Linked DNA regions of Lonchura striata. The main gene of each other region encodes a partner of the protein of the gene in region 2 in a complex. Links are inferred from orthologs where the notes say so. Each region holds a gene or a part of one and is shown on either strand. Other genes may lie near its edges.

Evidence for each region. Proteins that work in one complex are often made in the same cells at the same time.
Region 1: the proteins of CDK5R1 (region 2) and CDK5 are in contact, whole or in part, in a crystal structure (PDB 3O0G), measured with the Homo sapiens proteins. The link is inferred for Lonchura striata from reciprocal best matches to the Homo sapiens genes CDK5R1 and CDK5. Residues at the interface, in NP_003876.1 of Homo sapiens: Trp190, Gln193, Thr197, Pro198, Ala199, Phe203, Tyr231, Leu232, Ser235, Tyr236, Met237, Gly238, Asn239, Glu240, Ile241, Ser242, Tyr243, Pro244, Leu245, Lys254, Glu255, Trp258, Asp259, Cys261, Leu262, Ile265, Asn266, Ser269, Ser270, Met272; in NP_004926.1 of Homo sapiens: Leu37, Asp38, Glu42, Gly43, Pro45, Ser46, Ser47, Leu49, Arg50, Ile52, Cys53, Leu54, Lys56, Glu57, Val69, His71, Leu76, Arg120, Asn121, Val122, Leu147, Arg149, Ala150, Phe151, Gly152, Ile153, Pro154, Arg156, Cys157, Tyr158.

The regions. Positions count from the first base shown.
Region 1 is NC_134603.1:156,839,938-156,843,651, forward strand, and holds the start of CDK5 (cyclin-dependent kinase 5), read right to left. Parts: upstream 2,652-3,714; 5' UTR 2,641-2,651; intron 2,629-2,640; exon of another isoform or gene 2,604-2,628; 5' UTR 2,556-2,603; coding exon 2,519-2,555; intron 2,391-2,518; coding exon 2,302-2,390; intron 2,206-2,301; coding exon 2,138-2,205; intron 2,005-2,137; coding exon 1,944-2,004; intron 1,852-1,943; coding exon 1,795-1,851; intron 1,701-1,794; coding exon 1,605-1,700; intron 1,273-1,604; coding exon 1,198-1,272; intron 1,088-1,197; coding exon 991-1,087; intron 912-990; coding exon 842-911; intron 436-841; coding exon 375-435; intron 300-374; coding exon 219-299; intron 1-218. UniProt on the Homo sapiens protein: Proline-directed serine/threonine-protein kinase essential for neuronal cell cycle arrest and differentiation and may be involved in apoptotic cell death in neuronal diseases by triggering abortive cell cycle re-entry. Interacts with D1 and D3-type G1 cyclins.
Region 2 is NC_134627.1:2,692,262-2,695,975, forward strand, and holds CDK5R1 (cyclin-dependent kinase 5 activator 1), read left to right. Parts: upstream 1-1,312; 5' UTR 1,313-1,348; coding exon 1,349-2,242; 3' UTR 2,243-3,637; downstream 3,638-3,714. UniProt on the Homo sapiens protein: p35 is a neuron specific activator of CDK5. The complex p35/CDK5 is required for neurite outgrowth and cortical lamination. Involved in dendritic spine morphogenesis by mediating the EFNA1-EPHA4 signaling. Activator of TPKII.

The DNA.
Region 1 (3,714 bases), on a different chromosome or scaffold from region 2:
GGGGAGAGCACGGACCCTCCCCCTCCCACAGCCCACCCAGGCGGGCAGGGGGCTGCAGGCGGGAGGGCACCCACGCCCAGGAGCCAGAGCCCCCACGGGGTGGGCAGGGGTGACACGTGTGGGGGACGCTGCGGTGGGACAGGAGCAGGGGAGTGCAGGCTGGGAGACACACCCAGGGTGGGGGGCACGGGAAGGGGAGCACAGGGGAGGGGTCTCACCTGCAGCAGGTCCCGGCCAGTCGCGTTCAGCTTGGGCACCACGTTGACCAGGGAAGTGGTAGCTGGGTACATGGGGTAGGGCTGGGGACACACAGGTGACCCCAGCTCCCCCAGACCCCCTTATTTCCTCTGACCCCCCGCGCCCCCTGCCCTCACCTTGTAGTCCGGCAGCTTGGCCATGGCCGGCCACTGCTCCTCCGTGGGGGTCCCCAGCAGCGTGGGGACAGTCAAGGGCCACCACGGGGGCACCCAGCACCTGGCCCTGCCCCCCTGCCCAGCCGAGGGGGTTCCCATTTCAAGGGATCCTCATTCTCAGAGCTCCCCATTCCGCAGGGGATTCCTATTCTGCAGGGCTCCTCCTTCCCAGGGGAGGTCTGCATTCCCGAGGGCTCTCCATTCCAGGATTTCCCCAATCCCCCATTCCAGAGGGATTACCATGCACAGTGCTCCCCATTCTCAGGGGATTCCCTATTCCCAGGGGAAGTCCCCATTCCCAGGAGGAGTCCCCATTCCCAGGGGAAGTCCCCATTCCCAGGAGGAGTCCCCATTCCTTTGGGTTCCCCATTCCCTGAGCTCCCCATTCCCAGGCCGTCCATTCTGGTGCTCCCCATTCCCAAGGATATCGGAAGATCCTCTTCAGCTGGTCGTCCACGTCGTTGCCCGGGAAGAGGGGCCGCCCTGCGTTGGCCAGTTCTGGGGGGACAAGGGGTGGTTCCCACAGGCCCCCATGGCCCCCCAGGCCCCCCTCCGCTCCCCTGGCCCCCCAGTGTACCTGCAAAGATGCACCCGGCTGACCACATGTCAATGGAGGTGGAGTAGAGCTTGGCACCGAAGAGAACATCGGGGGGCCGGTACCACAGAGTGACCACCTGCGGAGGGACAGGGACACTGGGACCGGGACACGGGACCCCCAGCCAGCTGGGCAGGGCCAGGACCCCGGGCCCCAGCAGCCCCAGCAGCCCCAGGAGCCCCCGCTCACCTCGGCTGAGTAGCAGCGCACAGGGATGCCGAAGGCCCGAGCCAGCCCGAAATCCGCCAGCTTGAGCTCCCCGTTCTGGGGGGACAGACGGGGTCAGCGTGGGGGGCCCCACCTGCATCCCCTGCACCCCAGGACTGTGGCCCTGTTGCCTTTCTCATCATTGGGAACAGGGGAGAGATGGAGCTGCAGCTGTGGCTGGACAGACACCAGGTGTGGCTGCCAGGACAGACAGACAGACAGATAGGCAGGCAGCCCCCATTCCCAAGTGTGACCCCTGAGCACAGCCCCGCTCCCAGGTGTGACTGCCCAGGACACACAGACAGACAGCCAACCAGCCAGCCCCATTCCCGAGCGCAGCCCCGCTCCGTGCCCGGTCCCGGCTGTTCCCCGTGCTCCCGCCGCCGCACCCGGTTGATGAGCAGGTTCTGGGGTTTCAGGTCCCGGTGCAGCACGTTGCGGCTGTGGCAGAAGGCGAGGCCCTTCAGCAGCTGGTACATGAACGACTGCGGGGGCACGGGCGGGCTCCGTCAGCCAGCCCGCGGCACCGGGCGGGGCAGGGCCGGCACCCCGGGGGCTCCCCGGGACCCCCGGACCCACCTTGACAATCTCGGGGTCCAGATCCCCGTTGCAGCTGTCAAAGTATTTCTTCAGGTCCTGAGGGAAGCGAGGGGGGCCGGGAGCGGTGACCCTCAGAGACCCCCCCGGACCCCCGTGCCCCCCCGGACACCCGTGCCCCCGGAGCTCACCTGGTCGCAGAACTCAAAGACCAGGGTCAGCTTCTTGTCGCTGTGCAGAACGTCGTGCAGCCTGCAGGGCAGGGGTTCCTGAGCCCCGCAGCGCCTGGCCGGGCCCGGGGCACCGGGCAGGAGCATCCCCCGAGCCGCGACGCCGGTACCCGGGGCCGCCCGGAGCCCCCGGGGCCGCCCGGAGCCCCCGGTACCTGACAATGTTCTTGTGCTTGAGCTCCTTGAGCAGGCAGATCTCCCGCAGCGCCGAGCTGGGCACCCCCTGCGGGACACGCGGGTTGTGGGAGCCGGGGCTCCCGGGGGTCCCGGGGGGCGTCCCGGGGTCCCGGGGGGATCCCAGCCCCGGCCCCCCCCTCACCTCATCATCGTCGTCCAGCCGCACTCGCTTCAGCGCCACGATCTCGTGCGTCTCCCGGTTCTTGGCCTTGAACACGGTCCCGTAAGTGCCTGCGGGAATGGAACGGGGTCACGACCGAGGCCCCGGTACCCGTGCCGACACCGCCGCCGGGCCCCACAGCAGCGCCGGGCCCCGCGGCAGCACCGGCTCCCTCCGTGCGGCTCCGGCCCTGCCGCACCTTCGCCGATCTTCTCCAGCTTCTCGTATTTCTGCATCGCGCCGCGATCGGTCGCGGCCCCGCAGCGGCCCCGGTCCCGGTCCCGGTCCCGGCCCCGCCGCGCCTCCCGGCAGCCCCCGCGCGCCCCGCCGCGCCTCCCGGCGGCCCCGCGCGGCCCCGCCCCGCCGCGCCTCCCGCGGGGCCCGCCCCCGCCCCGGGGTTCCGGGTTCGAGCCCCGGCTCCGCCCGCCGCCTCCCCGCCGGACCCCCGGCTCCCCCCGCCGCCCCCCGCGGGACAGCGCCGCTGCGCGGGCGCCCGGTGGGGATCCCTTGCGGGGACGGTCTCCGCGCTCGCTGGGTCGGTGCCGGAAGCGGTGCGGACCCGCCCGGTGCCGCCCCGCCCCGGCGCGCTCCCGCCGTTCCGCCCCGCGGGAACGCGCAGACCCGCCCGGCGCGGCTGGACCGTCCGGTAAGCAGCGGCACCGGCACCGGGATCGTGAACGGAGGTGGTGAGGCTGGCGGGGCTCAGCACGGCTGGTCCGGTCCCGGTCCCGGTCCCGGTCCCGTTCCTGGTCCCGTCCCAGTGTCCCCACCCTCCCGGTGCCGCCCGTCCCAGTCGGTGCTGTCCCCGGTCCCCGCACGCTTCTCTCACCGAGCCCCCTCCATTCCACTGCCTCCCCGCCCGCCCGCGGCAGCTCCGATCCCGGTCCCGGTCCCGTCCTGCCCCGCCCTGGCAACCCCAGGTCCCGGCGCGGCCGCGGCTGTGCTTCTCCCAGTTCCTCCCCGGGGCCCCTGCCGCGCTGGGGGGGTTCAGGGGGGCTGTGCCGTGCCCCGGGACTCCGGTTCTCCCGGCACATGCTCCGGGTGCCTTGGCTCCTTCGGCTCCAGGTGGAGCAATGCCCAGCCCGGGCATCCCCCAGGGCCACCCCGAGACCCCTCCCGGACACCCGGGACCCCTCCCGGCCCGCAGCGATGCTGCCCGGGACGTTGAAGCTCGGCCGCTCTCCGCCGCCACCGGAGCTCCGCGCCGGGCGGTCCCAGGTGCCCCCGGAGCCTGCTCTCGGGGTGACGCTGGATCCCGGGGGCACGGGGGAGCCAGGACCCCGCATCCACCATCGTCCCTCTCTTACAGCGAGGCCGCTCCATGCGCTTGCCCCGCGGCGCCTGAGCCCGGCAGCCCTCGGCAGGTGAGTGACGGGGCTGGGGACCCGCCGTGTG
Region 2 (3,714 bases):
GGCAGCTGCAGGTCCGGGGCAGGGCATAAATAGGTATAAATGAATAGAAATGAATTTGGGTCATCAGTGCAGGCCCGGGATGTGCCCGAGCATTCCCCGCTGCTGCCGGCAGCAGCTCCTGGGCCGCAGGGTCCCCCCGCGGGCGGCTCCGCTCTCCGCGGCCGGAGCGGACCGGCAGCCCCGGTGGCGGCGGAGCGGCCTCCGAGTGTCGCTGCAGGTCGCGCCGAGCCCGGCGGGGCCGGTGCTGCCCGGTGCCTCCCGGGCCGGCGCCGCTCCGGTCCCGGCGGCAACGGGATCCCGGTCCGGCGGCAACGGGATCCCGGTCCGGCGGCAACGGGATCCCGGTCCAGCGGCAATGGGATCCCGGTCCGGCGGCAACGGGATCCCGGGCTGCGCGGGGGCGGCGGTTCCAAGCGGAGCCGTGGGACCCGCGGGGTACGGGAGTTGCAGGCGCGTTCCCCAGAACCCGGCCCGGCCTCAGAACGCGGTTCCGGGCATTTCATTGCCCCGGTAGCTCCGGGGCGAGTGGCGGCCCCCGGCCCGGAGCCGGGGAGGCACCGCCGGAGGGGGGAAGCGGGGGCGAAGGGCGGCCGGGGGCGGTGCGGGCTGTAGGGCCCGGCTCCGAATCCGGGCTGCGGCTCCGGGACGCCAGTGGAGAAGGGTTTTAAATCTTAATTTTGGGATTTTCTAAATAATTATTTTCGTTGCTTTTTATTCTTTTTCCCTCCGAGTCGTGCCCGGCCCTGCCCGGGGGCTCGGCAGCTCCCCTGGTCCTGCCCGGCCCTGCCCGGGGGCTCGGGGGCACCGCGGGGTCCGCGACCGGCGGGACCCCGAGGCGGGCAGCGCCCGGGGGCCGGGCCCGGGAGGGGCGGGGCCGGGCCCGGGAGGGGCGGGGCCGGGCCCGGGAGGGGCGGGGCCGGGCCCGGGAGGGGCGGGGCCGGGCCCGGGAGGGGCGGGCCCGGGCCCGGGAGGGGCGGGGCACCCTCCATTCATAAACAGCGGAAGGCGGGGCCTGGCTGGCGGGGGCGGGGCTCGATCCATTCAAGGCAATGGGGGCGGGGCTCTGCCGCCCGCTGCCGTGCGGGGGCGGGGCCGGGGCCGAAGGGGGCGTGGCCTCGGCTGCCGCGGCGGGCGCACGTGGCGGGGCGGGGCGGGGCGGCGGGCGCGCGCACTGCGCCGGCGGGAGCGCGCGCGGCGCGGGGCGGGTCCGGGCGCGGCGCTGAGCGGCGGCGGCGGCGGCGGCGGAGCAGCGAGAGCGGGGCCGGCCGGGCCGGGCCGCGCCGGGGCCGGGGCCGGGGCCGGGGCGGGCGGCGCGGGCCCGCCGGGCGCCCGCCGGGCGGCCGGCGCCATGGGCACGGTGCTGTCGCTGTCGCCGAGCTACCGGAAGGCCCCGCTGTTCGAGGAGGGGGCGGCCACGGTGGGGCACTACACGGCGGTGCAGAACAGCAAGAACGCGAAGGAGAAGGGCCTGAAGCGGCACTCGCTGATCTCGGTGCTGCCCTGGAAGCGCATCGCCGCCGTCTCCGCCAAGAAGAAGAGCTCCAAGAAGGTGCAGCCCAACGGCGGCTACCAGAGCAACGTGACCCACCTCAACAACGAGAACCTGAAGAAGTCGCTCTCCTGCGCCAACCTCGCCACCTTCGCCCCCCCGCCGCCCCCCGCCGCCGCCGCCGCCGCCCTCGCCTCGGCGCAGAAGGCGCCCCCGGCCGCGCCCGCCGCCGCCGCCGCCACCCCGCGCCGGGTCGTGGTGCAGGCGTCCACCAGCGAGCTGCTGCGCTGCCTCGGCGAGTTCCTGTGCCGCCGCTGCTACCGCCTGAAGCACCTCTCGCCCACCGACCCCGTGCTCTGGCTGCGCTCCGTGGACCGCTCGCTGCTGCTGCAGGGCTGGCAGGACCAGGGCTTCATCACGCCGGCCAACGTGGTCTTCCTCTACATGCTGTGCCGGGACGTCATCTCGGCCGAGGTGGCCAGTGACCACGAACTGCAGGCAGTGCTGCTCACCTGCCTGTACCTCTCCTACTCCTACATGGGCAACGAGATCTCCTACCCGCTGAAGCCCTTCCTGGTGGAGAGCTGTAAGGAGGCCTTCTGGGACCGCTGCCTCTCCATCATCGACCTCATGAGCCCCAAGATGCTGCAGGTCAACGCCGACCCGCACTACTTCACGCAGGTCTTCGCCGACCTCAAGAAGGAGAGCGGCTCCGAGGAGAAGGGCCGGCTGCTCATCGGCCTCGACCGGTGAGCGCCCGCCGCCCCCCGCGCCCCGGAGCCGCTCCCGGGGGCTTTGCCCGGCGGGGAAGGAAGGGCGGAAGCCGCCGCCTCCCCCCGGGGGGACACGGGGGGTTCGGCCGCCGCCGGACCGGAGAGCAGACCCCCGGTTCCCTCCCGCGCCGCCGCTTTCCAGCCGCCGCCCCCTCCCCACGCTGCGGGCCCGGGATGCTGCGGCTCCGCCACCGGCTCGATCCCAGCAATTCATGGATGGGGGGCCGAGAACCCCCCCAGCCGATGTCCCCGGGAGCGGAGCGGGGCTCCGCGGGGCCGGTCACCGCATCAGCGAGACAGAGCCCAGGTAGGGGAAAAAGAAAATTAAGGGGGAAAAAAAATCCTGTAAAGGCTCCAGCGCGGGCGGCTGAACCGGCCCGGTCGGGACTCACCGGCAGCACCGGGACAGAGACGCGGGCACGGCCCGGGGACCCCCCCACCCCCCTTCCTCCCTCATCCCCCCCTCTTTATTTATTTTCTTTGAAGAGACTCGAATTCCCGAGCGGGTCCGGGTGACGGGAATCACCGCTACTGTTCATGAGATCAATGTGAAATGTCTTGTTCCCATCGTGCACTGGTCATGAGTATTGTGTAAAGGATCTACTTGAGTGTGCAAGCAAGGGGAGCCGCCACATGCTGCTATATGAATTCTTCTAGAACAAACCCAACGAACTGCAAACCTGCGGGGGGGAAAGAGAAAAAAACCCTTCTTTCTTCTGTCATTGTTGCTTTTCCAGTGGTATTGCGCATGCAAACAGGAGCATTTTGTGTCTTCGGGAAACAAAAAAAAAAAGGAAAAAACGCATAAAAAAATAATAATCAAATGAAAAACCTTAACGAGAGATGGCTGTAAAATTACACCCATGCACAAAGACCCGCCACCACCCCGACACCGCAGTCTCGAGCTGGTATTCCCGTATCAGGCCTGGGGACTGAGACCTTCTTTTTGGGTTTTATCGTTTTCTTTTCTCCGTGTGCTCAGTTCTAGTTTAGTTCTGGTCCATCGGGCGTTAAACTGGCGAACAAGAGGGAGAAATAACGTGCCATTTATTTTTATTTTTGATTTTTCACTTGAAGCTCTTCATGGCTGTACATTGGACCCTGCTAATGATACATGTGTACGTACGTTTTTTTAGTGCAATCTCTTCTGTAGATCTTTGTTGACCAAATTGATGGGTATTGTTACTTATTAATTTATATTTGTCTCATTTTGTATGTATGTGTATAGTGTGTTTGTAAGTATGTGTGGTTTATAACCCGACCGACTGTGTCATGGGGCTCAGTGTGCCTGTAATTTAATCCCCTCCCCTTATTTTTATTTATTTTTGTACTGTGCTGATTAAATAAAAATGCACTGACCATCCATTACACGGCAGCGGCTCGTGGCCGAGTCTTTTCTGCTCTCCCAGCCCTCGGGCGCTGGGAACGGGATTTGTGTTGACGACAGAGGGT